Diceros bicornis minor: one gene and its partners. The protein of the gene in region 2 purifies or fractionates together with the protein of the main gene of each other region. This does not show direct contact. Links are inferred from orthologs where the notes say so. Each region holds a gene or a part of one and is shown on either strand. Other genes may lie near its edges.

The links. Proteins that work in one complex are often made in the same cells at the same time.
Region 1: the proteins of HDAC3 (region 2) and ATXN3 purify together in Homo sapiens (affinity purification with western blotting; 3 studies listed by BioGRID). This does not show direct contact. The link is inferred for Diceros bicornis minor from reciprocal best matches to the Homo sapiens genes HDAC3 and ATXN3.
Region 3: the proteins of HDAC3 (region 2) and SKI purify together in Homo sapiens (affinity purification with western blotting; 4 studies listed by BioGRID and IntAct, with this or other methods). This does not show direct contact. The link is inferred for Diceros bicornis minor from reciprocal best matches to the Homo sapiens genes HDAC3 and SKI.
Region 4: the proteins of HDAC3 (region 2) and RUNX1 purify together in Homo sapiens (affinity purification with western blotting; 3 studies listed by BioGRID). This does not show direct contact. The link is inferred for Diceros bicornis minor from reciprocal best matches to the Homo sapiens genes HDAC3 and RUNX1.

The regions. Positions count from the first base shown.
Region 1 is NC_080763.1:37,928,356-37,935,884, forward strand, and holds the start of ATXN3 (ataxin-3), read right to left. Parts: upstream 3,436-7,529; 5' UTR 3,407-3,435; coding exon 3,383-3,406; intron 1-3,382. UniProt on the Homo sapiens protein: Deubiquitinating enzyme involved in protein homeostasis maintenance, transcription, cytoskeleton regulation, myogenesis and degradation of misfolded chaperone substrates.
Region 2 is NC_080740.1:59,789,917-59,798,329, forward strand, and holds the start of HDAC3 (histone deacetylase 3), read right to left. Parts: upstream 3,487-8,413; 5' UTR 3,435-3,486; coding exon 3,380-3,434; intron 3,286-3,379; coding exon 3,203-3,285; intron 1,890-3,202; coding exon 1,747-1,889; intron 1-1,746. Other genes in the region: RELL2 (RELT-like protein 2), read left to right, coding at 4,904-5,087, 5,484-5,549, 5,644-5,710, 6,162-6,347, 6,625-7,000, 7,126-7,158; FCHSD1 (F-BAR and double SH3 domains protein 1), read right to left, coding at 8,247-8,312. UniProt on the Homo sapiens protein: Histone deacetylase that catalyzes the deacetylation of lysine residues on the N-terminal part of the core histones (H2A, H2B, H3 and H4), and some other non-histone substrates.
Region 3 is NC_080752.1:22,965,364-22,973,326, reverse strand, and holds the start of SKI (ski oncogene), read right to left. Parts: upstream 3,436-7,963; 5' UTR 3,359-3,435; coding exon 2,390-3,358; intron 1-2,389. UniProt on the Homo sapiens protein: May play a role in terminal differentiation of skeletal muscle cells but not in the determination of cells to the myogenic lineage. Functions as a repressor of TGF-beta signaling.
Region 4 is NC_080766.1:35,214,954-35,222,355, reverse strand, and holds the start of RUNX1 (runt-related transcription factor 1), read left to right. Parts: upstream 1-3,967; 5' UTR 3,968-5,580; coding exon 5,581-5,850; intron 5,851-7,402.

The DNA of each region.
Region 1 (7,529 bases), on a different chromosome or scaffold from region 2:
AACCTTGTTTAAGTAAAACTGCATTGCTATAGGAAATAATATCAAGTTCTGTACTTCTAACATAATTTAATGGAAGGAAAGAACAAACTGTTCAATCCAAAATTTAAAATCACTTTTTAAAGTCACAAGATGAATCAAATTCTACATGGACCAAAAAAACTGTACAATGGCTCTGCCTCAGATTATACATTTTCCTACCTCACCCCCAAACTAGCCCCAGCACCTCTCTCTCATCAAGTTTTAACTTAAGCTGAATAGAAGTTCACTTTGCTATACTCAAAGTTCATGATTCATGTTCAGATTCATGATTCAAGTTCAAATTCCATGATCTCAGGCCCAGACTTCATTGTCTTGGGATCAAAGGGTGAACAAAATGCATCTCCAGTTTTACCGGTATTTTACAAAACCACAAAAGGGAACTGCAACCAAATCATTCCCTTCCGTCCCCAAAGTCTTCAGGACTCACCCAAAACTTGTTCAAATTCCCAGAGACACTATGACTACAACAGAAACCAGGCACAAACCCAAGGGTGCGCTCAAAAACAGGCTAACCTGGGCCATGCAATCAAGTTAACAGCACTTCTTCAACTCATCTGAGTGATAATACAGTCCCACCCCTCATTATGAGGTTCAGCCAACACAAGCATCTGAATAACAATGGCCAGCACTTCTAGAGCACTATGTGCCAGGTGGCATCCTAAGTACTCATAACTCTGAGACAGACACTTCACTATCCTCAAACCACAGAGGAGGAAACTGGGGCACAGAGATAATAAGGAATTTGCCCAGGATCATACAGGTGGTAAATGGTACAGCTGGGACTCAAACCCGGGCAAAGGCTTCAAGTGGCTATTAGCACTTCCTCAAGCCACTTAGGTGGAATTTGGTTATTCCTAAACCTCAAATATCCTAAAGATGGCTAAGGACCCTCAATCACAGCGGGACATAATGAATGTCATCAAGTCAATGCTCAGCATATTTATAATATTTTCACTAATTTTAAATATAATCTCAACAAGTTTGGTTATCATTCTCAGTTCACACGACATAAAAGTTCTAATTTGGATGGCACAGTGACCGTACCAAGAGCAGTCAGCAATAGAACTGATAACAAAAATGACAGAAAGCAGGCACCACAACTAATCCAACTACCCCCCAAAAAACAGCAATTGGTGGCCATATAGCATTAGGATTTAAGTTAAGGGTTGGCAAACTCTAACCCATGGGCCAAATTCAACCTGCCCCAGTGGGTAAGAATAGTTTTTACATTTTTAGATGATTGAGGGGGAAAAAAACACAAACAAGAATATGTGAGACCATAGATGACCTGCAAAGCCTAAAATATTTACAGAAAAATTGTTTACTTTAAATAAACAGCACCATATACATGGATGCTCAAGGAACTCTTGATTCATTCATTCAAATATTTATTGAGCACCTATGATGTGCCAGGCACTGGGGATGTATCGGTGAACAGCTGTTAACTTAATAAAGGGCACTCAAAGTGGCAACTCTGAAAAATGGGGAAAGCAACATTCAAAGAGGAAGTGGTTGCAAGACCCTTTGAAGGCAGGTATCTCTACATACAGAGCTTCCTTAGGGCCAAGGGTTCGCTGGCTCTCCAAACCCAGGACCTAGCAAGGGTTAAATGTACGTGGCAGAGTGGAAGGGAATGCGCTGGGAAATGGCATATTAAGCCCCAACATTCCCAGAATGGACTGTGTAGGAGATTAACAATGGGCCCTATGGTTACAGGTGCTTTCCATACTCTTCAAATATGCCTGCAGAACTTTAAGATCCTTCATTTGCTGAATACATATAAATTGATAGTAAGGATAAATGTATTCCTGAAGTACCGTTAAGCCTACACACATGCTGATAATTGAGAGTGACTTTCAGCTAAGTAGATTTTGATTAGACTAGCGCACAGCTTCTTTTGATCCCATGGTTTAGTAGTTACCTTCACTGAAATCTATCCAAACTAGTTAACAGTAATACTGTTAAAATACATTGTATCATTTTCAAGAAGTGGTGTGCAAAATGTTCAGTCTTCCACGTTGAAACATCTGGTCCTACACCAAAGCTTTTGAAAGTCAGTAATAAAAATATGTACACGCCAGGTTCTCTTCATCCAATCTCCTTAGCCAAGCAACTACATTTCTCTTGTCCAAGATTCATAAATTATGTCAATCAAGTGAAAAGATTAGATAACTAGACTACTGAATCTTTCCTCCCCCACACGTAAAAATCAGTCTATTTCAGTGCCCAAACTTTCTGAAACGTTTTGGTAAAGAAAAGCATTCCATTTAACAATTTGTTTACATTTATATGATGCCTCTTTTGTCTCTTTGATTGTCGTGGGTTGTGAATTTTTAAAAGAATACATGATCATTTACAAGTATTTAACAAAACCCCTCTGCTCCTACTAAATAATAGCCTCACCACAACCCTTTCCAAACGTGAAACTATTATGAAACAGACATCATGTGTCAAAGTTGTCCTGAGGAAGGTTTCACTCACACCCAAGTGGCTTGCTAATTGTATATAACAAAGACGAGTTTCTCCACATACCACAAACAGTATCTTCAAGTGCGTGGTCATTGAAGAATCAAAGCAAAACAGGCCGGGCAGACCACAACAAAATTATTCCAGTCCACCCCAGTACCTAATAAGAGAGCTAGCCTCCTGATCCGTAAAGACGGTACTGCCAAAGAAATGAAACCCAAACATCCCGTAACAAAAACTCTTGTGCCGACTTCCCTGTTTAGGGGCGCACGGGGTTCCCTACTTCACTTCCCTAAGTGTCAGGCCTTCTATGGGAGGAGCCAAGGTCTCTGCCCTCCAGAAGCTCATAGATCTAGTGCAGGAGAAGGACATGAAGACAACGCCAGAGATCTAAGTGTACGGGAGATTCCAATATAGAATTGAGGAGCCCAGACAAGGGGAAGTTAATTCTGCCAAGGGATAGGAGTGGGGAGTGGGGAGTGGGGTGGAGTTGGGAAGGGTCGAGGGAGGTGTCCCAGAGGTGAGTAGCTAGAACCTAGGGCGAGTGGGGGACAAGGGACTGGAGAAGGAATCCCACGGAAAGTGCAGAGGAAGCGCAGATGCTAGCCCACTCGGTGCCACCCCCTCGGACGAGCCCTCGGCCCTGCCCTCACTCCCTGCCCGCTCCCCGGACATCCCGGGCCCCGGCTCCTGGAGCATCTCGGGCCCCGGCCTCACGAGCGGAGGGTGCAGTGGGGGCATCGGTGAAGCTCCTCTCGCCCGGCGAGATCGGGATGCGGGCGACTCGGGCCCCACCCAGCTCTCCGGGAGGCGGCGATACCGCGCCCCTCGCCGCCACCTCGCCGCACACAGCTCCCCACCCAACGCGGACACTCACTTTCTCGTGGAAGATGGACTCCATGTTTATTTGTCTGGAGCCAACGGCCCCCGCGCCGGACCACCCCCTCCAGCTCCGCCCCCCGGCCCCACCCCTCCGCCCCCGCTCCGCCCCGCCTCCGGCCGCCCTGCCCACGTGCCCCGCGCAGACCAATCACCCCCGAGGATGCGAGTCACGTGGAGCGAAGAGCCAGTGAAGGCTGGGGCTATAAACGCCGGGCACGTGATCTTTGTAGCTCGTCCTCCCTTCTTCTGAGATGCAGCGGCTGGGGGATGCTGTAGTGCCGCCTGCCGTCTGGAGGCTCGCTTCCCACTTATGGCTATGGATTCTCAGGCTTCTGGGGGTCTGGATAAGGACGACTGGGGTTCTATGTTCTTTTTGTTTTCTACTTTATACTTTCTGTTTATGATGTTTGCATATAATTATTTAATATCTTCCTCTTCCTCCCCCACTGAAAGTCTCATGGCATCCCCCAATACCAAGCACTTGTGTAAAAATGGTATTAATATTTATATAGGGCTTACTGTAGGGTAGGCACTCTTGTAAGTGCTTTGCATATATTAATGAATTTAATACAGCAATCTTTGATGTAGGCATTATTATCCCTATTTTACACAAGAGGAAACTGAGGCACAGAGAAGTTAAGAACAGCACTATGTCCAAGGTCAAATAAGTCCAGATATCTTGTTACTAGTGTAAGTGTTCTGTCTCTGAAGAGGAAGCATCAGTTGAGGGTGGTGAAAAGTCCAGTCAAGTGCTTGGGGGGAAGCTGAAGGAGTAGGATAGGAGCAGATCTTGCATTTTGAAACCAGGTTAAGGAAGGTGTGCTTTTTTGTGTGTGTGTGAGGAAGACCAGCCCTGAGCTAACAGCCCATGTCAGTCCCCTTCTTTTTTTGCTGAGGAAGACTGGCCCTGGGCTAACATCCAAGCCTATCTTCCTCCACTTTATATGGGACACTGCCACAGCATGGCTTAATAAGCAGTGCATTGGTGTGTGCCTGGGATCCGAACCCGTGAATCCCAGGCTGCAGCAGTGGAGCGTGTGCACTTAACCACTTGTGCCCCTGGGTTGGCCCTGTGCCTTTCTTTTTTTTTTTTTTTTTTGCTGAGGAAGATTGGCCCCGAGCTAGCATCTGTGCCCATCCTCCTGTATTTTGTATGTGAGACACCACCACAGCATGGCTTGATGAGTGGTGTGTAGGTGTGCACCCAGGATCCAAACCTCCAAACCCCGGCTGCTGAAGCAGAGTGTGAAAACTTAACCACTATGCCACCGGGCTAGCCCCCAAGGAAGGTGTGCATTTTAAAGGCAGTGGGGGGCTATATAAAGTTTGTAAAAGGAAAGAGACATGCTCAGATTTGCATTTTTAAAAGATCACTCTGGCCACAGAAGAAAGCCATTGCTGTCAAAGGAATCTTGGGAGAGATGATGGTGTTTGGACTAGGGTAGTGACTTGGAGATGGAGAGAGAAGACCATTTTGAGAGATAATTAGGAAGTAGGGAGACTCAACAGAACCTGGTGAGAGAGTGGGGGGTGAGGGAGGCAGAAGTGTTAGTTTCTGCCCTAGGCAGCCTCTATGGCAAAAGCATAGGAGGAGCAAGGTTTGGGGAAAAGAAGACGACAAAGAGTTTACATGTTGGAGATGTGGAATTTGAAATATCCATGAGACATTCATGTAATTATGTTGAGTAGTGGTTGGAGATACATATATGTTGAGTAATAGTCTAGAGTTCAGGAGGGTGGTTTGGCTATAGAATGGGGAATTGTTGGCATAAAAATGGTAACTGAAACCACAGGAGTGGATAAAGTCATCTTGGGGGAAAAAGAAGAGATTGAGTAGAGCATCTGGAGCAGATCCCTGAGGGTAGAGAAGGAATAGCCAAGGAGAGAGGAGGAAAGCCGGAGAGTGTAGTATTATGGAAGTCCTGAGAAGGGAATGTTTCAAGGAGCAGTCAGTGTCAGTTGCTGCCAAGAGGTCCAGCAACAAAAGGACTTACAGGAGTCCACTAAATTGTGTTGCTATGGAAACCATTGGTGACTTTGGTGAGTGCAGTTCAGAGGAACAGAAGGGGCAGAAGGAGTAAGGAAATGGAGACTGCTATTGAGGACCAGGTGCACAAGGGGAGGATTTGGTTACTGGTTACCGTATATTGAACATCTCTGCGTGCACAGTCCACAGTCCTGTATTGGGGAAATAGTCCGTGTTCTTAAGGAATTGTGGCCTAACTAGGGAAATAAATCATGGTTCATGAAGTGAAAAAATATGCAAATGAGGTTTTTTGATTTTTTGAAAAAGAAATTATGTGTCCATCAGAGAAACATGTATTTATTTTTTTGTGTATACACATTATAAATCTCTGGAAGAATATACAGGAAACCCAGAGGTTAAATGTTTGAGATGAGAAGGGAACTAGGCAAATAGGAGACAGGGTGGGAGGGAGACTTTTCACTGTACACATTTTTATTTTTTATTTTTTAACTATATTAATGTATTACTTATTCAGAAAAAAATACATGATTGTATTTTATTTCCTAGGGCTGCCGTACCCAATTACCATGAATTTGGTGCCTGAAAACAACAGAAATTTATTCTCTCACCATTCTTGAGGTGAGAAGTCTGAAACCAACACGTCAGCAGGACCACGCTCCCTTCGAAGTTTCTAGGGGAGAATCCTTCCTTGCTTCTTCCCGCTTCTGGTGGCCCCTGGTGTTCCTTAGCTTGTGACAGCATTACTCCAATCTCTGTCTCTGTCTTTACATGGCATTCTTCCTTTTGTGTCTCTCTGTGTCCTCTCCTTTTATAAGACACCAGTCATTAGATTTAGGTCCCACCCTAATCCAGGGTGATTTCATTTTGAGATACTTAGCTAATTACATTGGCAAAGACCTGATTTCCAAATAAGGTCTTTGGCTCTGGATGGACTTGAATTTTGGAAGGACATGATTCAACTGTCTACAGTGACTAATTGCTTAGTAGGATGTAAACTATGCCAAAGGACCTTATTGTTTTGTTCACTGTTAAATTCTTAGTACCTAGAATAGTGCCTGGCAATATTTAGTAATATTGAATTTGTACTAATCATTTCATTAGGCCTTCCTGTTGAGCATGTGATTAATAACAAGCATCATAAAGTGAAACGATCAATGCTCTAAGTCCTGGTTTTGGCTTTGCCTCTGAAGCCATGTATGATTTGGGTCTTAGATTATTGCATTCCCTATTCCGATACCTCCACTTGAATTCAGCACATTCTCAACTTTACCTTTGTAAGATAACCTGTATCGTCCTTCAAAACTCAATAGCCATACGTTCTGGGAAGAGTTCCCTGAACTCCAACTAAGTTAGAAGTCCTTGTCTCTCCTCTGAGCTCCTGTATGTGCCTCTATCATACATGGTATCTTTTACAAAGTATCATAATAGTTGGTTTAATCATATATCTTCACCAATACCCCATAAATATCTTGGTGGCAGGGGCCATGTATTATTTGACTTCATATTTCTAGTAGTTGATGTCTTTCAAATGAATTAATGAAGCCAGGTGTCTGGGAATCATTCTTGATTCTTTCCCTCGCATTCTTCTGCCTCACCGCTTGTTCCAGTCAGTCCTCAGAGGCTGTGTATTCACTCTTCTCTCTCCCCTCTTTCTTCATTGCTGCTGCTTCGTTCAAGCTCTCTTGGTCTCTTGTGTAGGCCAGCCCAAGGATCTCTGAACTGGTCTTCTGATTCCAGTCTCAATATGTTTGATTCATAGTGCTGAGAGTGATCTTTCAAATGTGCAAGTCTTGCCCCTTTGTCTTTCAATTAGCAAATGGAGTGTTACTATGTACCAGATACTGAGACTATAACCGTGAAAGAGACACAGTCCCATCTTCATGGAGCTTATGTTGGGAGGGGTCTTTACACAAATCGTATTCTATCTAAAATCCTTCGGCGGCTTCCCATTGCTGTCTTAAAAAGCTCTTCGTGATCTGCACCAACCACCTGTCTGGCTTTTATCTCCCCAAATTTTCTCTGCTCCAGTTGCACCAGACTCAGGTCACACCAGCTGCTTCCCTTGACTTCCAGAAAGTTCTCTGAGGAAAAGTCCTTTGTGCCACCACTATACCTTGCACATGCCTATATTAAAGCATTTATTACACCATACCAA
Region 2 (8,413 bases):
GTGGTGTGATGGCTGGGAAGGCCTTGGAGAGGGTGAATGGGGAACAAAGGGCATTGTAGGAAGGGACTCTATGCAGCAGGGGTATGGGGATAAGGTTGGGAAGGTGCTCAATGCCAGCCTAAGGAGTTCGTTTCTGTCCTCCAGCCCAGGCTGCTTCTATTGGTAGGATCTTTCAGGGAACCAGATTAGTGTCGTGTTTAAAAACCTGGGCTCTGGATTTGAATCCTGCCACCTGCAGTGACTAGTTATGTGACTCAGGCTAAGTTACCTAAATCGCCTGAAACTCCAGTTTACTTATGCCTAACATCAGGAAAAGGAATATTATATCTCAGGGTTAGTGTGAGAATTTAGTGGATGTACCAGCAATCCCCAGCATAGCAGTGTAAGCATTCGATAAATGGTAGCTGTTGTAGGAAACTGCAGGATCTACAGCCTGGTTTCTTCAAGAAATAAATTCAAGGAAGAAAAGGAAACATTACAGATTAAAAGTCTTAAGAGACGGAATACATACAACCAAATGCAATGTGTGGACCTTGTTTAGATCCTAATTTAAATAATTCCACTGCAAAAAAGAAAAATTATAAGACAATTGAAGAAATCTGAATATTGATTGCAAATTCAATGATATTAAGGAATTACTGGTAATTTCTGAGATGTCATAATGATATTGTGTGGTTTTTTTTTAAAGAGTATCATTTGGAGATACACAACAAAGGATTTACAGATAAAAGGATATGACATCTGGGATTTGCTTTAAAATAATCTAACTAACATAAGAGGATACAGATGAAGTAAGATTGCCCATTTGCTCATAAGTGTAGCAGCTGGGTGATGGATATGTGGGGGTTCACTGTACTAGTCTACTCTCAGAAATGTTTGAAATTTTCCCTAATAAAAAGTTTAAAAACAAACTGAGTAAAGGTAGCTGTTATGGTCACTGTATTTTCATGGATGTATACTAGAATGTAAGCAAGGATCATGGCTTATCGTCACTGTCCACTCCCTTCTCCACAGGGCCTAACTCTGAGTCTTCTTGCTATGATACAAGCTCAATGTAAACCTGATCATGTCAGATCACCCTCTTGCTTTTTAAAATACTTCGATGACTTCCCTCTATTCTAGGGGTAAAAACCCCAATTCATAATAGGGCTGTTTACTTTTTAAAGGCCCTGCCTACCTCTAACCTCAATTCAGATCACTCTTCTCTTCAGATTCTGTGGTCTGCCTTTTTTCTGTTCCTCAAATGAGTTACACGTTATCCTAGCACAGATCCTTAGCACATGTTCTCCCTACTGCCCACAACATTCCTGTCCCTACTCTCTATCCTCCCAACCACCTTTCACCTAATTACCTCCTCCTACTCTTTCTTCAGATCTCAGCTCAATCTTCATTATTTCCTCTAGGAAGCCTCCACTGACTAGCCCACTCCCAAGCTGGATAATTCTTCCACATATACACTCCCATGGTCTGTCATGTGCCTCTTCTTCATAGGACTTACCACAACTATAATATTAAAATATTGCTGTTGTTGTTTATCACTGCATCCCCAGCACTTAACACAGGACCTGGCCTACAGCAAATGACCAGTAAATATTTGTTGAATAAACAAATGGGTAAATGATGATTCACTGACAAGTAGGCCTCTTCATGTCTTCCCACTGCTACCACAAGACCTCACTCAAGTATTCTCCTTGAAATGCCTGGCATCAAAGTGCCTGGCATCAAAAGTCCCAGTCCTCCCCTCACCAGTCATCGCCCACGTTGAAGGCATTAAGGCTCTTGGTGAAGCCTTGCATATTGGTGGGGCTGACTCTCTGCAGGAAGTCGATGTAGTCCTCAGAGTGGAAGCGGCACATGTCATGCTGGGACGCCTGGTATGGCTTGAAGACCTCAGGATGGAAACACAAGATGAACCCAGGCAGGGTCAGTCCCACTAATGGGACTGAGACCACCCACACTGAACCCAGCCCTGGGGACTGTCCAAAACTACATACAGCAATCCCTTGACCCCTCAAGCCGTGTTATTCTAGGAGGCAAAGGTCAGTGAAGAAGAGAAGCTCCAATTAGCCAGGTGGGTTATTATGGTCAAGCCCCCTAAAGACCATGGGGGTTGGCTTCTCCTTCTCACCTCCAGTCCAGCCTTTCCTACTTTCTCAACCTTGAGCCCTGATCCACCTGCCCTGTTCCCCGGATCTCCTATTCCTGCTTCTTTCCATAGTCCTCTCCACCCCTGGACTCTGATTCTGTCCTCTCTCTCCTCTGAGTTCTTAATTTCAGAGTCAAATAATATGGGATATATGACAACCTTCTAACTAAAACCCAAAGTGCCAAGGTGCTTAGCCAGAGATTTATCATCTTTTGAGGCGTTTACACACTTCTTTAGAAATTGGACAGAACAAAAAGCTTTTCTCTCCCCAAAAAATGCACACAGGTACATACAGCGGCAGACTAAATTTCAAGGGATTCATAGATTCATGCACTAACATCACCTCAGTCTTTTCTACGACCAGTTCACTTCTCTGTGCCTCGGCACAAGCAGTGGACACTCATACTGTTGACTAATTCCCCTTGTAATGCATAAGGGCTGAGCTTAACTGTTATAATTGCATATCACAGCAATAAATTCTAAGGTGGGGACAGACAGCATGTGAGGGTTGGGTAGTGATTACCCATGTAGGGGTATTCTAGGTTGGAAAGGGAATACTCAGGACATCTCCTGCTCTCCTCCACACACACATACACACTCACACACAGGGCAGCAGAGTCCTCCCTGGAGCTCTAGCTCCTTGGAGGCGGAGAGAGGTGGCAAAGAAGGGGTGGGAACTGAGAGTAACCTCACACCCAGATTCGGTGATCCAGCCCCTCTCCCTTTCCTGAGGCCACAGCACTGCCCACATCCTGAAATGCGAGGGAGGAAAACACCTTCTGTCTTCAAACCAGCCCCACTCCACCCTAACCTAGGTCAAAGGTTGGTCCACCTGAGGTCAAAGGGTGGCTAACCTAAGGTGAAAAAGTAACTCCTATTAAGTCAGGGGATGCACCCACCAACACTTCGCATATGGGGGATGCTCCTGGTTCCTTCTATCCAGCCTCCCCCCACTTCAGGGGTGGGTCGTACTTGGTGCATTCAGTGCAGCCTACCTACCCCTAGGGCCACAGCTCGCCCCCACCCTCAAATCCCAGCAGAGACGACGGGACTCACGATCATCTTCTTATAGAGACCGTAGTGCAGGACCAGACTATGGGTCAATGCCAAGCGATGGGGCTTCATAGGGTGCCCTGCCCCTGGGGGTGGGAGAAGAGAGTTCGTCAGCTCCCATCCCTAGAGTTGTAGACCTCCGCGTCCCGAAACCCCTCGCGCATAACCTTCTTCCCTCACCGTAGTGGAAGTTGCCCACGTCGGGGTCGTAGAAATAGGCCACGGTCTTGGCCATGGTTCCGGCGGGATCAGGCCCCGCGCCTCCGCCACCCGCCGGGCCGCCTGCCCCACCCCCCGTCGTACGTGCTGCGTAGGCACGCAGCCGGCCTCTGCGGAACCGGGAGGTCCAGGCCCCGCCTCCCTAGACCACGCCCACGCCCAGACCACGCCCCCTGCGCAGTTCTAGCAGTTGCCCTGCTTCGCCCTTCTAGGTTCTGGGGCGTGAGCGTCTGGGCTTGGGCGGAGGACGGAGAGCATTGGTCCTAGGATGCGAGGGCCATTTCCTTCCAGGCGGGGGTCATATGCTCGGGAAGTTGAGCCATCCCATCCAGCCACTTGCCCCAAACGGGGCGCAGGCCGTGGTCACCTCTCTAGGAGGCTCCGGAGAACCGGCCACGCTGTCCCTCTCGGGTGCAGAAAGCCGACTTCCCCGGCCCGCTGGGAAGGTTCCCGGCTATCCACCCGGCCTGGGCATCTGAGGGCGGGATCCGCGCCAGGCGTGCCGGATAGACCAGTGGAGAGCACTCTCGCCTGACTGCCTGTCGTCCCTACCAGGACCAGGACCCAGACTTGGCGCCGCACACTCCCCCGGGAGGGGGGCCCGGCGCAGTCACGCGCGCACCACACTTGCGCTCACAAGCGCGCAAGGCTCTAGCTCTCCGCCCTGCACACCTGCGCTCCGCCCCCTGGTCCTGGGCCGGCGACGGGCGAGGGCATTTGGGAAGCAGGGCGGCTGCGGCGCCCCCCATCTCCTCCCCTTCCCAGGGCCGGAGTTGTCCAGAGCCTGCCGCCGCTCCCAACCAGCCCGCATCCTTCTCCATCCTTCCCTCCCCCCGCCTGCCGCGGCACCGGTATCTGCAGCCGCAGCCCGGAGCCAGTGAGGCGGCGAAGGGGGGAGGGGGAGGAAGCAAGGGATGAGCCCCGAGAGGGCGTCGGGGGCCCTGAGCCGGACTAGGACGCCCCTGGAACCGGAACCCGAGCCGGAGCCGGAGCCAGAACCAAACCACCGGTACCGGGTGGGCCAGGCGGTCAGGATGGGAGGAATCGAAAGGGAGGGGTGTGCGGGAGTACAGGCAGGGGAGTGGGCTGCAGAGGCCTGGCTCAGGCCGGCGCGGAGGAGGTGCGAACGCTGACTCAGGTGGGATTCTTGCGCCGGCCGCCTGAGAATTCCGTCCCATCTCACTCTGCAGTGTCCTTGGGAGGGACGGAAGCGCAGGACAAGCTGGAAAGGGAAACCCTCTGGGCGTCGGGGAAGCGGGACCAGGGTCGTGGAAGAGGGCTTGCGCAGCCGCCGTCTGGCACCCCTGGCCCGGACCAGCACCCCTGACACGGACAGCTCCTTGGTTGGGTAGGGGGTGGGGCCGGACCTGGGAGGCTCGCCTGTTTCGGATCTTGAGGACGGCATTCCTATCCCTCCCCCCATCCCTAGCTGCAGCCCCCTAACCCCAGGAGGCGCCCTGGCCCGCGCTCGCCCCCCAGGGCTTCATGTCGGAACCACAGCCTGATCTGGAGCCGCCCCAACATGGGCTGTACATGCTCTTCCTGCTTGTGCTGGTCTTCTTCCTCATGGGCCTTGTAGGCTTCATGATCTGCCACGTGCTCAAGAAGAAGGGGTACCGCTGCCGCACCTCGAGGGGTTCGGAGCCTGACGACGCCCAGCTCCAGCCCCGTGAGTGAGGAGCCTAGAACCTGGCTCAGTCACCTTTCTCCCTTACCCCTCTCCCCACACCTCTTTCTGCCTTCCTGGCCAACAGACCCAGGCCAAACCGACCAAGCCTTCAGGAGACCTAGTGATGCTTTCTTGAGTCAGCAAGTGGGGGTGACACCACCCTGAAAGCAAGGCTAGAGAAGGCAGCATTAGTGGGAAGGGCCCACTGATGGTATTCTTGGGCTCCCATTGATTTCCGTATCTTTTCTGCCCTGGCCACTGAAATGCTAACATCCAGCATGATGGCAAATAGGTAAAGGGGTATGTCTTGAGCAATAAGCCACAGAAGCCACCAGGTAATGTCCCCTCAAAGCTGACTCATTTCCTGCTTCCTTGCCAACCTCTTTCATCCTTCAGCTGAGGACGATGACATGAATGAGGACACAGTAGAGAGGATTGTTCGTTGCATCATCCAAAATGAAGGTGGGTGTAGACTGGCCCCTTGCTCCCCCCTCCTCGACTTTCTCTTGCCCTGACCTCCACCTCCACTGACTCCCTCTTTTCCTTCTCCCTTCAGCCAATGCTGAGGCCTTGAAGGAGATGCTGGGGGACAGTGAAGGAGAAGGGACAGTGCAGCTGTCCAGGTGAGCTGGAAACAAGTGCCAGCATGACTTAGCTTACCTTGGAGAGTACCCTCTCCTCCAGCACACTCCTCACCAAGTCTCCTCGCATGTCTGGGGTCAGGGGCGAGAGCAAGGCTGGCTAAGCTATAGGAAGAAAGAAGTTGTGTAGAAGTCCTGAGTTCTTAAAACCCTATGTCCCATCTGGATGTCATCAAGCCTAACATTCACCCCCTGTGCCACTCCTTTGGGTTAAGTACTGCTCTCTTTTTAGCAAAACAGCCGTGGGAAGGAGAACGCATGGTCACTAACATCTTAATATTGAGTTTATTAGATAAAGACAAGAAAAGAATGTTGGGGCCTGGGGAAAGTGGGGCATCTGGGGGTTTAAGGAGCACGCTGAAAGAATAGAAGAAAATGGATCAGGAAGGGAAATGGGAATGTCACTCCTTCTCCCTTCCTCCCTACTGTCCAGCATGGATGCTACCTCCAGCCTGCAGGACGGAGCCCCCTCCCATCATCACACAGTGCACCTGGGCTCTGCAGCCCCTTGCATCCACTGCAGCCGCAACAAGAGGCCTCCACTTGTCCGTCAGGGACGCTCCAAGGAAGGAAAGAGCCGCCCCCGGCCTGGGGAGACCACCGTGTTCTCTGTGGGCAGGTGGGGATAGAGTACCCCAGGGAAAGAGAGGTTGAGGTGGGGGCCCCAATGATCAGGCACCTGACTCCAAAGGTTGACTCCGGCTTTCTTCCTGGACTGTGAGCTACGAGCTACAGCAGGAGTCAGGCTGCACAATGTGCCCCTGAATCTGAAGAGGTCTCCCCTGCCCTAGGCCAGAAGGAAGTGGCCATCAAACCCAGAATATCCCTGGCTGGAGGAAGGGGCCAAGCAGCCTCTGAGTTGTGGTCCTAAGCCCCAGTGTTCCCTCCCCTCCCAGGTTCCGGGTGACACACATTGAGAAGCGCTACGGGCTGCATGAGCATCGTGATGGCTCCCCCACAGACAGGAGCTGGGGGTCTGGTGGGGGGCAGGACCCAGGGGGCGGTCAGGGGTCTGGGGGAGGGCATCCCAGGGCAGGGATGCCTGCCACTGAGAGCCTGCCCCCTGAGAGGCCACAGCCCCCAGCCATCACCAGCCCCCCAGTGCAGAATGGAGGACTCAGGGACAGCAGCCTAGTCCCTTGTGCACTTGAGAGAAACCCTGGAGCCTCTGTAGAGCCAATGCTGGGGGCTGGAGGGAGGGGCCCAAGCCCAGGGCTGGCCAGTCAAGAGGCAAATGGACAGCCAAGCAAACTGGACACCTCAGATCACCAGGTATGAAGACATGGCCAGGGCTATGGTGGCCTGTGGTGGGCTCAGCTCTTATTGCCCCCTATGCTGGGGGACACTAATATGACCCATGTCCTGTTCTCCCATTGTTGACCCCTCCTCTCTCTCAGGTGTCCCCACCACGGGGAGCAGGGGCTGTGTGAGGTGAGTCTGCCTGGCCCAAATCAGAAAATGTCATCCTCCCACCCCCTACTTAAACTACCTAAGTCCATTGGCTCCCTGTATACCCAGGGTAAACTGCAGGCTTAGCCTTTGCTATAAATTCCTTGGTTTGGTGGTGGGGAGTGGACATGTGCTCCAGGGGATAGGGAAGGTCCTGCAGCCCCGGGGAAAAGCTGGGACACAGCTTGAATAGGAGGCAACTCTGTTACCCTTGCTCTTCTCCAAGCCTCCTCCTTCATTGCGCTGATGGACTACCAGCTGGCAGGGCCGGGGATGGGTGGGCACGAAGCCCCTCCTCTCCACTGGACAGCACTGCCCCCCAGCTGAGGGAACAGCCCTACTTCCACCTGGAGTTGCACAGTCTCAGGCTGGGGGACCTTGGGAGAAGTTCCCCCAACCCCCGGCCCTCAGTCTGTTTCCTTCCCCCGCCTGCCAACAGGCCGCCTGACCCGCCTTCCCCATCACCTCGCTCCATATGCTACAGCGTGGCAGCTGAGAGCAGGCCCCTGCCCTTGGTAGGCCCCTAAAGCAATAGCACCTCAGTCCCCTGCTCTCTTGGCACAAGAGGCCCAGGCTCTGGCTTGGGCTTCGTGCCCTTTATTCACTGTCAATAAATCCGCTCAGACCATTACAGCTGCTTCGCATACTGGCTCCAGCTCCTTCTGACAGGCCTGCCCCTGTCCCAGCCCCCAAACCAGTGGCCCTGGCATCTGGAGTGGGGTGGGTCACAGAGCCAGGGTGGACACACAGATGGGCCAGAGCCACTCAAGACTTTGAGGGATGGGTTCCAGCCCCAGAGATTTCAGGATATTTCACCACCTTAGAGATGGATGGGGGCAGAAGAGAAAGGAGTAGTTCCAGCCTTAGAGGCAGCAGCACGATGGGGAAAAGAGAGTGGGTTCCAGCCCCAGAAATGGGAAGAGGGGAAGTTTCTACTCCTGGAGGTGAGAGTAGAAATGGGGGAGATTCCCGCCTTTGGCTGTATCACTCTGGATCATTGAGGGGGTGTTCTCTGACAGTGTGGAGATAGGGGCAGCAGCATCACTGGGGGGCAGAGATACCCCTGGCTTCAGGTGAGGGGATCTGGGTGGCCAGGATCCGGGGCTTTGGCTGGTGGGGGAGGTGGTGGACGCATCTGTAGGGAACACACAGTCAGGGCTCCACAGGTCTCTCTTGGAGATAACCCGTCCATTCCCTCAGCCCCGCAAACAAAACAGGACAAGTCGGAATGACCCC
Region 3 (7,963 bases), on a different chromosome or scaffold from region 2:
ACGTGGTGCCACTGGCACGCAGACAGGCACGCACGCGCTGCGCTGGGCGGATTTACCGGGACCATGCCCCCCAGAACGCCCAACTGCACAGTCTCAGAGCCAGGCAGCAGGCAGAGCCCCGAGAACAGGACGAGGGAACGAGGCCAACAGGAAGGGTGCCCCGGAGGTGAAGGAGCCGGGAAGAGAGCAGGTAGGAGCTCACGGAGGCGGGGGCCTGGCGAGGTCCGGGGAGCACAGGAGCAGACGCCGGACGGTGCCAAGGCCTGGAAGGAGACACGCCGGACCTTGCGCCCAGCCCACCACAGTGAGGACAAGGCTGGACTGGCACTTGGGCCTGAAGACCCTAACCAGTTACAAGCAGCATGTCTTGCACATTACTTGGGAAATTTGCTTTCTATCAGTAAATGAGATTTCTGAGCACCACTGGGGAGAGTGTTGAAGGAGGAAGGGCAGCACTGACCATCTGTTGCAATGACCAGAGCAAAAGCGTACTCTATCCTCTTCTCTGTGACTGTGGCTCAGGGAACTGTCCTGGCTTCTCCCCAGGCAGTGCCTGAGCCCTCGAGCTCAGGCCAGGCCTTCCCTGAGCCTAAAGACACGCTCACCCAGAACCGCAGGGCCTGCTGCAAGGGAGCCTGGGCCCGGGTCTGCAGCTGTGACAAACAGCCAACCCCAGGAAGACCACAAATACACACGTGACCCAGACTCGGACACAAACACAGACAGACACACCCTCATAGACAAGACCCTCTGCTGTCCGCTCTGCAGGCAAATGACCTGCCACAGCCTCACCTCCCAGCTCATCCGCCGGGACCCACCACAATCCTGCACACGGGGCTCCCTCGGGCCACATACAGGCACCCCAAACAGAAAGGCCCCAGTTCACAGGGAGCGCCCATCAGGCCACCCACAGCCAACTCCCTATCTGAAATAAAGAGCCCAGCCAGCCTGCTGGGAATCTGCCTTTGGCCTTTGCCACCTGCATCCTCCCCCACCGCATGCTGCCCACTCAGACCATCCCTCCTGCCCAACCCCAACCACACAGTCTGCAGACAGCTGCCACCTGGGCGCTGGCCTAGCCAAGGGCAGAAACACCACGAGCACACGCACACGCTCACATGTGTGGCACCCCCTCCAAGCACAGGCGACAGGCCCCTTGTTCTCCAGCCCCTCCTCCGCTCCCAGAGACTCTGACACTCCACTGGAGGGGCGCCCAGAGAAAACCGGGCGGGAGCATCTATTCACAGATTTAGAAAAAAAAGTTTGATGCAATAGCTGAATTAATTAGGCCTCCCAAGAATAGCTAAACCAATGCAGCATTCTGTGTGTGCAATTTAATAAGCCTAGATATTTAAAATGAAAATCACAAATAGCTAGGAAGAGAGAAGATACTATGAAAAGTTGGTGAAGACCCCAGTGGATGGTTTTGGCACCTAGTGACCCAGGAGCTGCCCGGCCGATCACAGATCCTCCGTCTGGCAAACAACAGAGCCTCGGTCACGGCCCTCCCAGCCGCACCCTTCAGCGTTTCAGAGAGAAGAACAGAAGGAAACACGGCGTCCAAAACAAATCGCAAGCCGTCGGCTACTCCAACACTTGACCAGGCCCCAAGCCCAGTGCCAAGTGGCCCTCACCCCCGCACAAGGGACTCTGGGATGCACTTACTGGCAGGCCCACAGCGACGCACAGAGCTGGAGTCGCAGAGTCTCGGCCCCCTGCCACCTCAGCCTGGACACCTGGCTTCGTTTTTGAGTCTGTCTCCAAGAACCTCAAGGCACAAACAGGCCCCACCTCGCCAAGTTTTGTCTGCTGGAGACCATGGGCAAGCACCCCTCTGTCTGCAAGCCCAAGAACTTCGAGACGAGCACAGCGCCCTTCACCCCCACCCGGTCTGGACACCTCCTTAGGGCCCTGAGGAAGGCCTGAGGCTCCAGCCTGGGCCCAGTCGGAATCTAACTTCCCAGGACTCAGGGCAGAAGCACCCGAGGCCTGCCGTTCCTGGTTCATCTGGGTAATGGCTGTGGGCCTCAAGAAGGCTTCTCCACCCACCAGGCCTGGCCCCAGACCCCCAGGGCCCCTCACACTGGGCAAGCCAGTTTGTCCTAGGGGTCCACCAGAAGGTCCTTCCTTCCAGGCTACATGGCCATTGATAGCAACTAACACTACCCTAGATTTCCTTAAAACAAAACAAAACAAAACCCTACAACATCAGAGGAGGCAGAAGCGCAGGTCCTAGCCTGCTGAGACACAACCCCTAGCCCAGGAAGGCCCCCCACCCTTTCCCAGGGACTGGCCCCTCCTCGTGCCACCTCCCCAGCTTCCAGACCCTGGGGCCCAGCTCACCCAGCATCCCACCATTCCTGCAGCCAAGGCTGACAGAGACACTCACCCGGGGCACCCGCCGCTTGTACTTGTTGCCGTAGTCGAACTTCTCCTTCACGTCGTCCAGGCAGCGGCCGAGGCGCGCCTGCTCCTCCTTGCCCGTGTAGTCCTGGCTCAGAAGGATGTAGGCCCGCCAGTTGGCCGAGTCGAAGCCCCAGTGGCAGGTCCGGTTCTCGAGGGCCTTGTGCGAGTGCACCACGAACTTGTGCGGTGGGTACATGAGACGGCAGTCGAGGCACTGGATGCAGGCGGCGCTCGGGCTGCTGTAGAGCTCGGGCACCAGCAGCCCTTTGCACTTGCCGAAACACTCGTGATACACGCGCACGCTGCGCTCGCTGAGCTCCAGGCCCAGCGCCAGGCTGGCGGCCAGCTCCTTCTTGCAGGGCGGCGGATAGGCGCCGCCGTACAGCAGCGCGTTGCACAGGCGCTCGGCGTCCGTCTTGGTGATGAGCCCGCACGAGGGCGCCGAGAAAGGCAGGATGCCCATGACTTTGAGGATCTCCAGCTGGTCAGCCGTGCAGCGCGAGCAGTAGATGTGCAGCTCGTCGCAGACCGAGTTGATCTGTTGAAGCGAGAAGTCGCGCAGCACCGAGTTGAGGATCTGCGGCAGGCAGAGGCGCTTCTCGCCGCCCACCACGAAGCACGAGATGGTCTCCCCCTCCAGCACGGTCTCGCAGCGCTCGGTGGAGCGGTCGGACGGCATGAAAAAGGGCCCGGGCAGCACGGGCGGCGGTGGCTGGATGGCGGGCAGGTGCAGCACGGGCGGCGGCTCCGCAGCCGCGGGCACCGGCGCTGGCACCGCGGCCGCGCCCGCCTCTTTGGCGCTCTCCTTCTTGTAGGCCTCCTGCGCCCAGCGCGCCGAAAAGGCGGCCGGGCCGCCCAACGAACTCATGGAGCTCAGGTGGAACTGCTCCAGCGTCTTCTGCAGCCCCGGGTGCGGCTGGAAGCCGCCGCGGCCGCCCGCCGCCGCCTCCATGGTGCGCTCCTGCTCCCCGGGCCGCTCCCGCTCCCGCGCGCCCGGGCCCCCGCGGCCCCCACCGCCGCCCCGCGCGCCCCGGCGGCGGCCCCGGCCCCGGCCCCGGCCGCCCCCCGCCGCCGGCTCCCGGCCGATCACGGCCGCGGCCTCGGCCTCGCCCGGGGGCGCGAAGGGGAAGGCGGGCGGGGCAAAGGGGTCCCGCCGCTGGAGCCCGCCGGTGCCCGGGCCCGGCGCCACATCCACGCGCCCCGCGCCGCGCCCGCCGCCGCCCGGGCCCCCCGCGCGCCCCCCGCGCGCCCCCCGGGCCCTAGGCGCGGGGCATGCCCCAGCGCGCGCCGCCAACGCCAACGCCAACGCTCGCGGGCCCGGGGCTCGCGGGGGGCGCGCGGGCAGGTGCCGGCGCCGCGAGGCGCGAATCGCCGCGGCGGCCGAGGCCGAGGGGCCCGGGAGGAGCGGGGGCGCGGGCGCCGGGCCCGCCGGGCCGTCCTCGCGCGGCGCGCCGCCGCCGCCCCGCTCCTCCCACCGCGCGGCGCCCGCCCGGCTCGTCCCGGCGGCGCTGGCCGGCCGCGTCGCGCCCGCCGCCGGCCGCCCCGGCCCGGCCCGCGCCCACCCCGCCGCCCGCGCCGGCTCCGCGGCCCGCCCGCGCCCTCCCGCCCGTCCGCCCGCGCGCGCGGCTTCCGGGGCGGCGGGAGCGCTGTGGCGGCGGCCCTCAGAGCGCGGCGGCGGCGCGGGGCTCGGCGCACATCCTCCCGGCGGCTCGCTCCGGCTCGGACTGAGCGCCCGGCGCTGAGCTCACGCCGCCGCCCCGCCCCGCGCCGCCGCCCCGCCCCGCGCACCGTCTGGGGCCGCGCGTCCGCCGCAGCCGAGCGCCGGCCAGGAATGCGACCGCCTCCCGGCGCGGCTCTTCCAAGAACGCGCACTCCCCCGCCCGCGCCCGGGCCGCTCGGCTGCGCTCGGGCCCGTCCGCCCGGGACTCGGCTCCGCTCGGATTCAACTCGGCCCCACTCGGCCCCACTCGGCCCCCGCCCACCTGGGACTCGGGCCCGCTCGGCTCCACCCACCGGGACTCGGCCCCGCTCGGCCCCGCCCGCCGGAAGGCCGCTCGGCGGGGGCGGGGGCGGCGGCGGCGCCCGGGGGCCCCCTTTCCGGCCGAGGCCGCTTCCTGCGCGGCTGGGAAGGCGCCCGTCCCGCCGCCGCCGGGGCCTAGAAACCCACACGCGGCCCCCGCCACAACCGCAAACCAGCTGAGGGGCGGGCGGGACGGGGCTGCGCACCCTCCATCGTACCCCTCGCGGCCCCCGCACGACGGGGACGCCACACGCACGACAGGGCCTCCGTGCAGTATAACCCAAGGTCCACATAGGACGGGGACGCCACAACACAGTGGCGGTAACTGCGAGTGAGGGTTGCAGCACCCCGGGGCCCCACACAGGAGACACCGCGTGCAACGTGTCCGGGACCCCCGCACCACGCAGGCGCGGCACAACCCCACCCCCACCCCGGCATGATTGGCACGCAACGCCAGCCACTCCGCGCCCCTGCCCTCTGGTCCCCGCCCCGCGGCTGGCGGGGCCGCTAGCCAGCAGCTTCACCCCGCTGCAGTCCCAGAGCAGCACTGCTTGCTCCACGGGGTAGGGCTTTGTGCCTGAGATGGACGGCCCTGCGTCCAGGAGCTGTGCCCTGTGCACGCCGGCCAGGTCACTGCTAGGGCCAAGCCCAAGGTGGGTCCTCAGGAACCTGGCTCCTTCGTGCCTCGGGCAGGACAGCGTGACCCTTAACCTGCAGCCTTCCCTGCCGAGAGCCACTTAGACATCTGCAGGGCGCCCAGAGCGTGGCCAGAGTGAGACCACACTGTCCGTCCTTTCACGCACTGGCTGTGTCGTGGGGGGAGAGACAAACCAGAAAGGGGCCGGTGGGAGAAGACGGGCCGAAGTTGGACAGGCTAGCCGAGTGGCCCCCCGGGGGAGGCAGCATCCAGCAGAGACCCCGAGGGTGGGGACTTGAAATCAGGGGGACAGTTCTGGCTGTGCTCAACTCGGGGGCAGAAGGACAGTCCAGCTGAGCTGGGTAGTGGCACCTTTTCCTCCACAAGACAAGGGTACCCAAGCTGCCCTGAGCCTTGGGCAACACATGGGGGATGCCTGCAGTGCTAGGCAGGGGCGAGAGGGCCATGCCTGCGGCAGCCTGGGTCACCTTCACCTTGTCACCTTCTGCTCCTACCCCCCCCCCAGGGTGGAGGCTGGAACGGGCCCCAAACCAGCACTCCTGGGGGGCAGCACCTGCCCCAGGGAGCCAACCCAGCATCCCCGCAGGCCTCGGTGGCCCCTGAGGCGTGGGCAGGTGTCAGGATGGGCAGCTAGGATGGACAGGTGACCTCACACCTGCGTGGCTCAAGACGCAGGCCGGTGCCTGGTGTGGGGAGCCTTGAGATTCAGGGTGCAGTGCCCCGTGTTTACAAATCTGATCGCTCCTCACCGTGGACGTAAACCCTCCCCCACCCTCGCCTGTGCCCTAGGGACTGTCCCTCCTTGTCATCACGATTCCCGCTGTCCCTCCCACTCTTTGTTTCGATGACCCCAGCAGTCGGCAACCCCCAGCACGAGGCCTCTCTATGTGCACAAAGAAGAAAACTAGGAAAAGGGTATTTAAAAACCAAAGAAAAGTGACTTATTTGTTTTTGAAGATTGTTTCCTTGGCCCACATTTGGACTAAAAAAGTTTATATTGCACCTGAGAAAGTCAATTTCTTCCACGTGGATTTGAATCCCAGGCAGCTCAGGCAACCTGTAATCCAAAGAAGGTGGTTGGAGCACCAGAGGGCTGGCCAGGAGGGGTTTCTAGCCGGGTGCAGAATTCTTCTGCTCTTTTGGCCAGGCAGGTGCTCCCAGGAGGACCCTGAGCCCGAGGTCCCCCGAATGGGCAGTGCCCAGCTCTGATGCTCTGCTTCCCTCTACCCGGTCTGGCTTTGCAGGGCTCTGGGAAGGGGCCAACACTTTCCCAGAGCTGCAGGGGGAGTGTGGTGGAGGATAGGTGAGGGTGAAGGGCCCTGAGCAGCAGGGAGAGCCTGGACTCATCTCTAAAGCTTCTCCACCTCGGTGGACTTTCAGGCTTCCTCCCCACAAGATGTTGGAGTTTCTGGAGCAGGTGAGCCCACCCCACCCACCAAAGGCCAAGCCCTGTCTTCTCCCTGTGCCCAGCCAGGGCTCCCACCTGCTGGCCTTCCTCCTTCCAACCCGTCCCAGCAGCTGCTCTGGCCAGTGGCCCACTCTTCCCACTGCCCCCGTGCCATGGGCCAGGCACCACACTGGCAGGTGGAGGGTCCAGGCCACAGGCACAGGGACTCACTACACCTGTCCCTTGCTCGCAGCTCACTCCCAGGCCCTTGCCACACTGATGGGTGTGGGCTTGTGGTCATGCGTGTGCACACTCACACAGCAAGCACACATGTGTGGAGCCTGTACCCCTGCAGACACAGAGCCTGGCACTGGGACCAGGGAGGGAGGAGTCCAAGCTCTGCCCCATGTGGCTCCCATCTCCTGCGGCGAGTCTGGCAAGTGATCAACAAACCCGTTAGTAAAGGAGCAAGATCATTTGGGTCCTGAGGGGCCGCGAGTCGGGGGGCTGACCTTGGAGCCAGCAGCGCTCCAGGACCAGAGAGATGAGTGTGCTGGCTGTGATCAGGTGCCCCTTGCCTCAGGGGGAGGTCGGAGGCTCAGCTGGGGAAATGGGCTGGGAGGCTCAGATCACCAGGCCCCAACAGAGAGACCCTGACAGAGCTTCCCCTGGAGGGGACCAGCTCTGCCCTCTCTGGCTCCCACCTGCTCCCTACTCCCTATTCCTTACAAACTGGAAGGAAACACTTGGTCACAGCCAGGCACAAACTGCCGTGGTCAGGAAAGTGCTAAGATACTGTTTTAAAACTTTAAATTTGAAAAAAAAATATCAAGTAACATGAGCTTGATAAAAATTTAGAAAAGACTTTGGTCTTAGTTTGGGTTCCACCAAAAGCAGAACTTGAGACAAAGATTTGAGTGCAAATAGTTTATTTGGGAGGTGATCCCAGGACACACAGGCAGGGGTTGGAGGAAGGGAGATGGGAGGGAAGGCAGGACACAGGAGTGTGTTATGCAGCCTGTCACCCTCGGGCTCCTGGAGCTGGATCCAGGGGCACAGAGCCATCCCTGGGGGCAGCCCTGAGTGAGAAGTCAGAGCCCAAGGGAGCCAAGGGAGTGAGGGGACACCACTGGAGCGTGGAGTTGATTACACAACTGGGGGACTGACCAAATAAGGAAATGCATTACGGGTAAGGAGTCCGGTTTCTCACTGCTAGAGATGGGAATTAAAACACAGAAAGGGATAAATGAACTATGTGGTATTGGATTGGAATTAGCTATATGTATGTGAACCCATGAATATCAATATTTATAAACAAATAGGAAAACCATAGATGTAAATGTGTGTTTGTGCAAACGTCCATACAATCCCTAGCTCTGTCCAGTGAGAGGCCCTGCGAGGAGTGACACCCCAACAGCAGTGAGCTCACCGAGAACCCACAGCTTGGCTTCTAAATTGCATCCTTCACTAAAAGGAACTAGAGTTCTTTGGA
Region 4 (7,402 bases), on a different chromosome or scaffold from region 2:
GATTAATTTTAAATTTTTCTCAGTTTGCTCTTGTGAGCTGCACAATTGACTTACGAAGTCAGAGTGAAATAGTCACACATCAACCACAGCATCCCATGGAAATATTCATATGGAAGAAGTGTGTAGCAGAAGAACTAAAGAATCTCAACCCCAAAGTAATTAGATTTCAACAGGGAAATAATCTCAAAGCCACTCAAGAGGGAAAAAAAGGTTTAATTAAATTCCAGTGTTGAAAACTGGATGTGGTATCCGGCAGGTTATTTGTACATACATTAACTTGTTACTTTTCATCGAAACATTCTCCTCCCCTGTGACATTAGTACCAAAGGCAGCAATTTGGTCCAGAACCACTAGCAAAATACATCCTCTGATTTTTATTTTCATTGAAACGGTCACTGAAAATAGAAATAATTCTTTTAGAAACATTATGTTCTTAGAAATGTAATTTTTAAAATATATTACTCACAGAGGGAAATTCTGATTTAAGAGAATGGTTGAGATTCAAATCCTACCTTTATGTATGTTTTATTTTTGAGAGCATTTTAAAACAGCAAAACTGTAAAATATTTAGATATTTTCTGAGACCACCTACAATTATATATTTACCTAAAGTTGCAGAAGAAAAACGTCAATGAGCTGTTATTGTTTTCCAGTGCAATTGTTATTTTTCTTCCAACTAACCAAATACTACTTTAAAAATTCACTGTGAAAACTTACATTTCATTCCTATTCTGAGCCTTTTTGAAATGTCCCCCGTGCAGCAGATTTGGAAGAATCTGTCACATAGCATTCGCCCAACATACCGCTTCGTTGTATTTTTTATTTTGTATTATAACAAAAGTACATTTTAGTATTATTCCAGGGGAACACCAGGAGTGAATGTGGCAATGTTTCCTTTCCTTCCTCTCTTCGAGAGGCAGAGGAAGGGAAATTCTACATTGCCGCTAAAACGAGCGCTCTCGGTGGAAAGGAATTCTTCATTTCCTACACGATGTTACTGAACTTTATAAGCTCTGTTAAAAGCCGTTCAGACTGAGGGGTTCCCGGCACCTCTTAGCTGAGCCACATGCTGCCTGCTTTCCATTCATTTTAGTTCCTCACTAAGGAAGGCGCAGTGTTTTTTGTTTCTGGTTTTAAAGTGTGCACCGAGCAGGGCGGTTACAGCTCGCGCAGATCCCGGGAACCCCAAATGCCCGGCGGCCCGATTTAGAATAAATCAGCAGTAGCTTTCTTTGCTATTATCGTCCTTGCCGGCGTTCGAACTTGGGATTTATTGGTTGAATCTCTTAGCTGAGTAGCGCCCACCGTGCCGCTCTTGAAAGGCGAAACTTAGTGCATCTATAATTGCAACTCTTTTCTTACCAAGGAAGGGAACTTGACCCTGGCCCGAGAGACTGCCGAGGACAATCCGACCCGCAGCCCCTCGCAGGGTTTAGGGTTTCATACCGCTCGAGCCCCAGAGGAGCCTTCTCTGACCTTTCTGAGCGGCAGATCGCCCCAGTCCGCTATATCCCCGAGTCAGAGCCCATTCTTGCCTTCGCTGCACTCCGGAGCCCCACCCCGCGTCCCCGGGGGTCCCTGGGGATGCGCTTGGAGGCGGCTCCCAGGAGCGCTTGGTTGGCTCTTAAGGGAATGCATTTGAGCCGAAGCAAAGGGTTGCACTTGGAACACGCCTCTAAAGCGAGCAGCGTTGATCCTGGGCAGGGGGCAGCAGACGGGGAGGTTTGGTGACTGCACAATATTTGGAATTGCTCGGCCAAGGCGGAGAGCGGCCGTTTGGGGGGTCTTTACACCTTAAATGAGGTTTCTTCAAAATCATTTAAAAAAAAACACACAAAGGAGTTTTCTATCTGCTAGACCTAATAGAACAAAGTGCAGCTGGATGCTGGGGGGTTCCCGGGAGTGTCAAGGACAGGCCCACCTGGGGAGAAGCGCGGAAGGCAGGACGCAGCCTGCGCCGAGGGCCCGGCGAGGGCGCCCGGGGTGCCTGCAGCACGGACGGCCTGGGGCGGCCGACTTCGGGGTCCGCGCAAAGGGGTTTCGGGAAGAGACCCCCAACGCGGGCCGGTCGGGAGAGCCAACACCCTGCCTGAGATTCCCGCGCCACCAGCTCCGCCGCGGGGGTAGCGGGGGCGGGACGCGGCCGCCCAAGGCTGGCTCCAGCGGCCGTTTCCTGTCGTTTCTCCCCAAACTGAAGTTCTTACAAGAGCGATGCGAAGGCCGCGCGGAGGGCCGGCGGAGCCCCGCGCCGTCGGGGGCGTTCCCGGGCGCACAGCGCGGCCGCCGGGCGCCCGGGGAGGCGAGCGAGGGCTGCTGCTGCCCCCTGGCGTCCGCCCTGAGCCCGCGGCCCGAAGCGCCTCCCCCGCGGCCAGTGTCCGCCTCCCGGCAGCTCGCCGCAGCCCGCCCGGCCGCTCGGGGCCTGGGGCAAGGGAAGCGGCCTGGGCGCCCGGGAAGGCCTCTGCGGCCGACCGCACGGCCCTGGCTTCCGTCAGGCCCCAGCGGCGGAGCCCGCAGAAAGTCTGGCGCGGCAGCCCCCCAGGACCCCAGCCGCGTGTCCGCAGAGGGGCAGGAGGCGGCGGGAGGGAGGGCCCCCGCGGGGACCGAGTGAGGGACCCCCGCTGGGGGTGAAATTGAGGGCTCCTTGAGGAAGGTGGGGAGGGGCTCCTGCGAGGGGGGAGTGGGTGAGCGCCCTCCCCAGGGGATGCGGAGCCCCGCGGGGGACGGCCAGGCTGGGCTCCGTGGGCAGAGAGGGAGCCCCGCGGCGGGGGGGAACGGGCCCTGCGCGCCGGGACGGGGGCGGGGCCCCGTTAAGCTCCGCGAAAATGCCCGCGGCGCCGCGGGGACGGGCCCCGGGAGAAGTTCCCGCCCGCGCGCAGTGCCGGGGTGGGTTCAGCGCCCCGGGCCGCTCGCGGGCACGGGGACAGGGAGAGGAGCCGGGGCCGTTTCCGGGGAGCCGGGGGTGGGTGCGGGGCTCGAGCGACCCGGGCCCGGCGGCGGGCTTCCTCGCCGCCTGCGGAGGAGCCGACGCTCCGAGGACGGGGAGCGAGCCCGGCGGATGCTTTCAACTTTCCTTCCAGCCGCACGTTCTTGGGGGCCTTGTCTGATTAGGAAACTCCTGTGCTCGCCGCTCGGCGCACACAGCCTGAGTGAGGCGCGCTGCGTAATTAAGCCGCAGCCCAGACGCGGCGAAAAACACCAATTAAAGAAAACAAACCGAGAGAGAAAACTAAAAACACAAAACCATGTTGTGAGAGCCGTCTGGCCTCATTAAATGAATCAGCGCCACTTCGCTGCAGCTGCCAACCGGGCCGTGGGGCCGCGCAGAGCCGCTCTCCGGCCGGGCCCTCGGCCCTCCGGCTCCCTCGCGGCCGAATCCCACCCACGCCGGGGAAGCAGAGGCTCGGCCGTGGGCGGCCGCGCAGGGCCTGGAGCCGCTCGGGGACTCCCGCCCCGGGCCCGGGAGCCCCGTGGGGGCCACTGCATCTCCAGGACGCGCGGGGCGCCTCCCTCCGCCTGGTCTACAGGCCCCGGCCGCTCCGGGCGCTGCGCGTAGCCCGAGTCCTCCCCAAGCCGGCCGGCCTCCTCTTTCCACCTCCTCGGTCTCCGGACCGCGGCCGCCCGTGGCGCCCCTGCGCACTGCAGCCCCGCGGCCGCCAGCCGCGCAACCGCGCGCGTCTGCAAAGCCGCAGGGCCGCGGTCTGCACCGGGGCGGGGCCTCGGGCGAGCGTGGGAGCGCGTGAGTGTGTGTGCGTGGATGAGGGCGCGCGAGGAGCGCGGGGTGACCGCGGCGGCCGCGGACTCTCCATCCGGGCTGCATACAGTAGCGCGCGGCGGCGGCGGGGGCGCGCGGGCCAATTCCAGGAGCCCGCGGCCGCGAGCCGCGCCCTGGCTGATACCGGAAAGGCCTGTGATTGGCCGGCGGCCGCCCCTATGCAAACGAGCTGAGGGAATGGAATTCCTCGGGCCGGGCTTACAGTAAAAGCACGTTCATTTCCAGGCACTCTCATTCATAGAGCCAGCGGGCGCAGGCGGGACGGGCGCCCCGCGGCCGGACCCAGCAAGGGTACCACGCTGCCCGGCCCTGCGCCGGCAGGCATCTCTTCCTGGGGCCCCTGGGGACACCAGAAGAAAGTCAACCTTTGCTGCTTCTCCTTGACCTGCGTTGGAGTTTCGATTTGTTTTTTTCTTTCTTTCTTACTTTTGAATGAACTGGTTTCTTGGCTGGATGGTTTAACTTCTTTCCTGGCTGTGAACTTTTCTCCGGTTGTTTCCTTTGACAACTGCAAGAGAAAGTACGCTGTGCTGCGAGGCGAGCCGTGAAGTTGCGTGTGCGTGGCAGTGTGCGTGGGAGTGTGTGCCTGCGTGTGTAACTCGAGCCGCTCTGTCTGTTTCGATCTGCGCTGCAGAGCCTCCTGCAAGGCCCGCTCCACCTGCTGCGGTTACGCGGTGATCGTGGGTATTGGCGTGTCCGCGTAGTTAACCGGCCGGCTCTGGGGCGACGTTGGAGGAAGATCTGATCTCGTACCGCCTGAGTCGGGGCTGACTCAGGGAGTCAGCGTAGACAGTGGCTGGCTTCTGAAGAGTGCGTGTCTGCGTGCGTGTGACTCGGCTGCTGCTCAACTCCCACCAAACCACAGGATCAGCCACAAACTTAACCAACATCCCCAAACCCGAGTTCTCAGATGTGGAGAGCTGTACCCTGAGTGTCATCGACTTGGACCTTATTTTATTTTTTAAGATTAGCTTTTCTTTGAAAAGCTGAATTTTCTGAACTGAGAATTTTGCCAGAATTGGAGAGAACATGACAAGTACTTCTAGCCCAGCCCTTCTCCAACTACTGAAGCTGTTTTTCAAGGCTACTTAAAAAAAATCTGCAGCGAACATTAATGGATTTCTGTTGTGTTTAAATTCTCTACAGATTGTATTGTAAATATTTTATGAAGTAGAGCATATGTATATATTTATATATATATATATGTGCACATACATTAGTAGCACATTTTGGAAGTCTCAGCTCTTGCTTTTGAGGACCGAAGCCTGTTTTGCATGATAAAAGTGGCTCTGAATATGGAAGACACTCGTGTATTTGGTGTTGTGTTGGGACTTTAGACAAAACTCACCTGGGAAAAAACTGACAGGCGATTAACTACTGGAGCTTCCAAACAATGTATTTGCTGGTCCTTCTGCTCTCCGCATAAATATTTTAGGAAGTGTATGGGAATTTTGCCTCCGGGAACTTTTGTAACAGCTAAAGCTGAACTTAAACTCTCAAAGCAAGACTCAGAAGAAGATAGTCTCCCTTGGCATTTGACTTGGGATTCTGGTCGCCTACTTTTTAAGGCACTAAGCGGTCGGTTGCTAGGAGCCCTGACCGAGTCTGAGGCTCATCGGCATAACTAGAACTTGCCCCCTCCTGGACTGTTAGTAAACTTAGTCTTTCCCCTCCCCCAACCCCCCCGCAGCAATAAAGGCCCCGAACTTGTATGTTGGTCTCCCGGGAGCTGCTTGCTGAAGATCCGCGCCCCTGTCGCCGTCTGGTAGGAGCTGTTTGCAGGGTCCTAACTCAATCGGCTTGTTGTGATGCGTATCCCCGTAGATGCCAGCACGAGCCGCCGCTTCACGCCGCCTTCCACCGCGCTGAGCCCGGGCAAGATGAGCGAGGCGCTGCCGCTGGGCGCCCCGGACGCCAGCGCCGCCCTGGCCGGCAAGCTGAGGAGCGGCGACCGCACCATGGTGGAGGTGCTGGCCGACCACCCGGGCGAGCTGGTGCGCACCGACAGCCCCAACTTTCTCTGCTCCGTGCTGCCCACGCACTGGCGCTGCAACAAGACCCTGCCCATCGCTTTCAAGGTACTCGGCCCGGAGCGGGTGGCGGGAGGACGGGCGGAGGCCGGCCGAGGCCGGGGGCGATCCGGGAGGGCAGCGGCCTGGCGGGCGGGGCCGGCTTCTAGGAAGGGGCCGGCGCTGCCCTCGGCGGCCCCTGGTCCATCCCCCTGCGCTCGGGAGACGGGGGATGCTGCGTTGCCGTGGCGACCCTCCCGGGGACCCGCCTCAGCCCGCCAAGGCTGACTCCCGGAGGGCTGAAGAAATCAGGATGCCCCCGAAGACGTCCACAGTGGGCCGGTGGGGACCTCCCTGGCAGGGGTCCTTAGCTTTGATACAAAGTAGGAAAAGTTATAACCCCAGCAAGGACTAGCCTGTCTGCTCCCGTGCTTCTCCCCCACCTCCGGCTTGACTTCCAAACCATCCTGACTCCCTCAGATGGAGGCATCAGGAAATAAAATGGACATACTTTTATACCTTCGGGTCAGTGCAAATAAACTGATAAGGAAAATTGTCAGGGCTTCCCACCGCCACCCCCTCTTAACAGCCCGATACGAATTAGCATGTTCAAAGTCCACAGCGGGCGTAGTTAAGTTTGCAAGTTTTCTGAAGAGTTTTTGCGAGATTCCAGCCCGCTCCTGCCAGAAGCCGCAAGTAGCGAGTCCTGTTTCTTTGCCTGGAACCCTCCTGAACGTTATCACTGGCTCACCTAGATTAAGCCCGGGGCAGCGAAAGGTGACAAAGCTGTCTTGCGCGAGCCTGGAGTCTAATCGCCCGCATTTCTGTTTGAGGAGGGGGCGGCGTGGACCAGGCGGCCTCGGCGGAGCAGCTCCAGAGGGATCCGTTCCCTTTTCACCCCTGATCTTGCCCTAGCTTTCAGCTGCCTTTAAAAACCTTGGCCTTCAACGGGGATATATAAACAACCCCGGGCGTTTTTAAACAACCATCCCACCACCCTGGCCGCAAACAGCAGAAATTTAATTTCGGCGATGGGGACTCGGTTCTTGGGTCTTGGGTGGGATTAAGATGGGGCAGCTTTTTAGTACAATCAGTGCATTTATTGCTGTTCATTTAAAGGGCGAAGGCAGGCAGATGAAAAAAAAGCTGTAAAGATCAGCTACCCTCTCTATTTTTAATCTGGTTAAATATTGTTCCCTTTAAGGGGAGATAAATTTAATATAAGCTTTTTATGGTTCCAGGCCTCGACCGAATCTTGATCTAGTTAACAATGAATAATGTTCACTTTTTTAAGAAGTGCTGTCAGAGTTCTTTATTTTTAAAGCGTTATACAAAGCCTTCCAAACTTAGATTATGATTTCTAAAACAACACAAACAAAATGTGCAGTTGGCTATGTCTTTGGAATTGCCTCCTTTTCCTCTCAGTTTTCTGAAAGCAAGAGTTTTTGAGGGGGATGGAAATGAGGACAGGGTGGACCAGCCCCTGGACTCTTTCCTTTCTCTTCCTCCATGTATGTAGATTTGGGTTGGGAGCCCATTTCAATTTTGTTATTCTAATCCCTTTACATAAACAGACTCAGCCAGCGGATCCCCAAAGCTCTCTCTCTGTGAAGGGGGACCT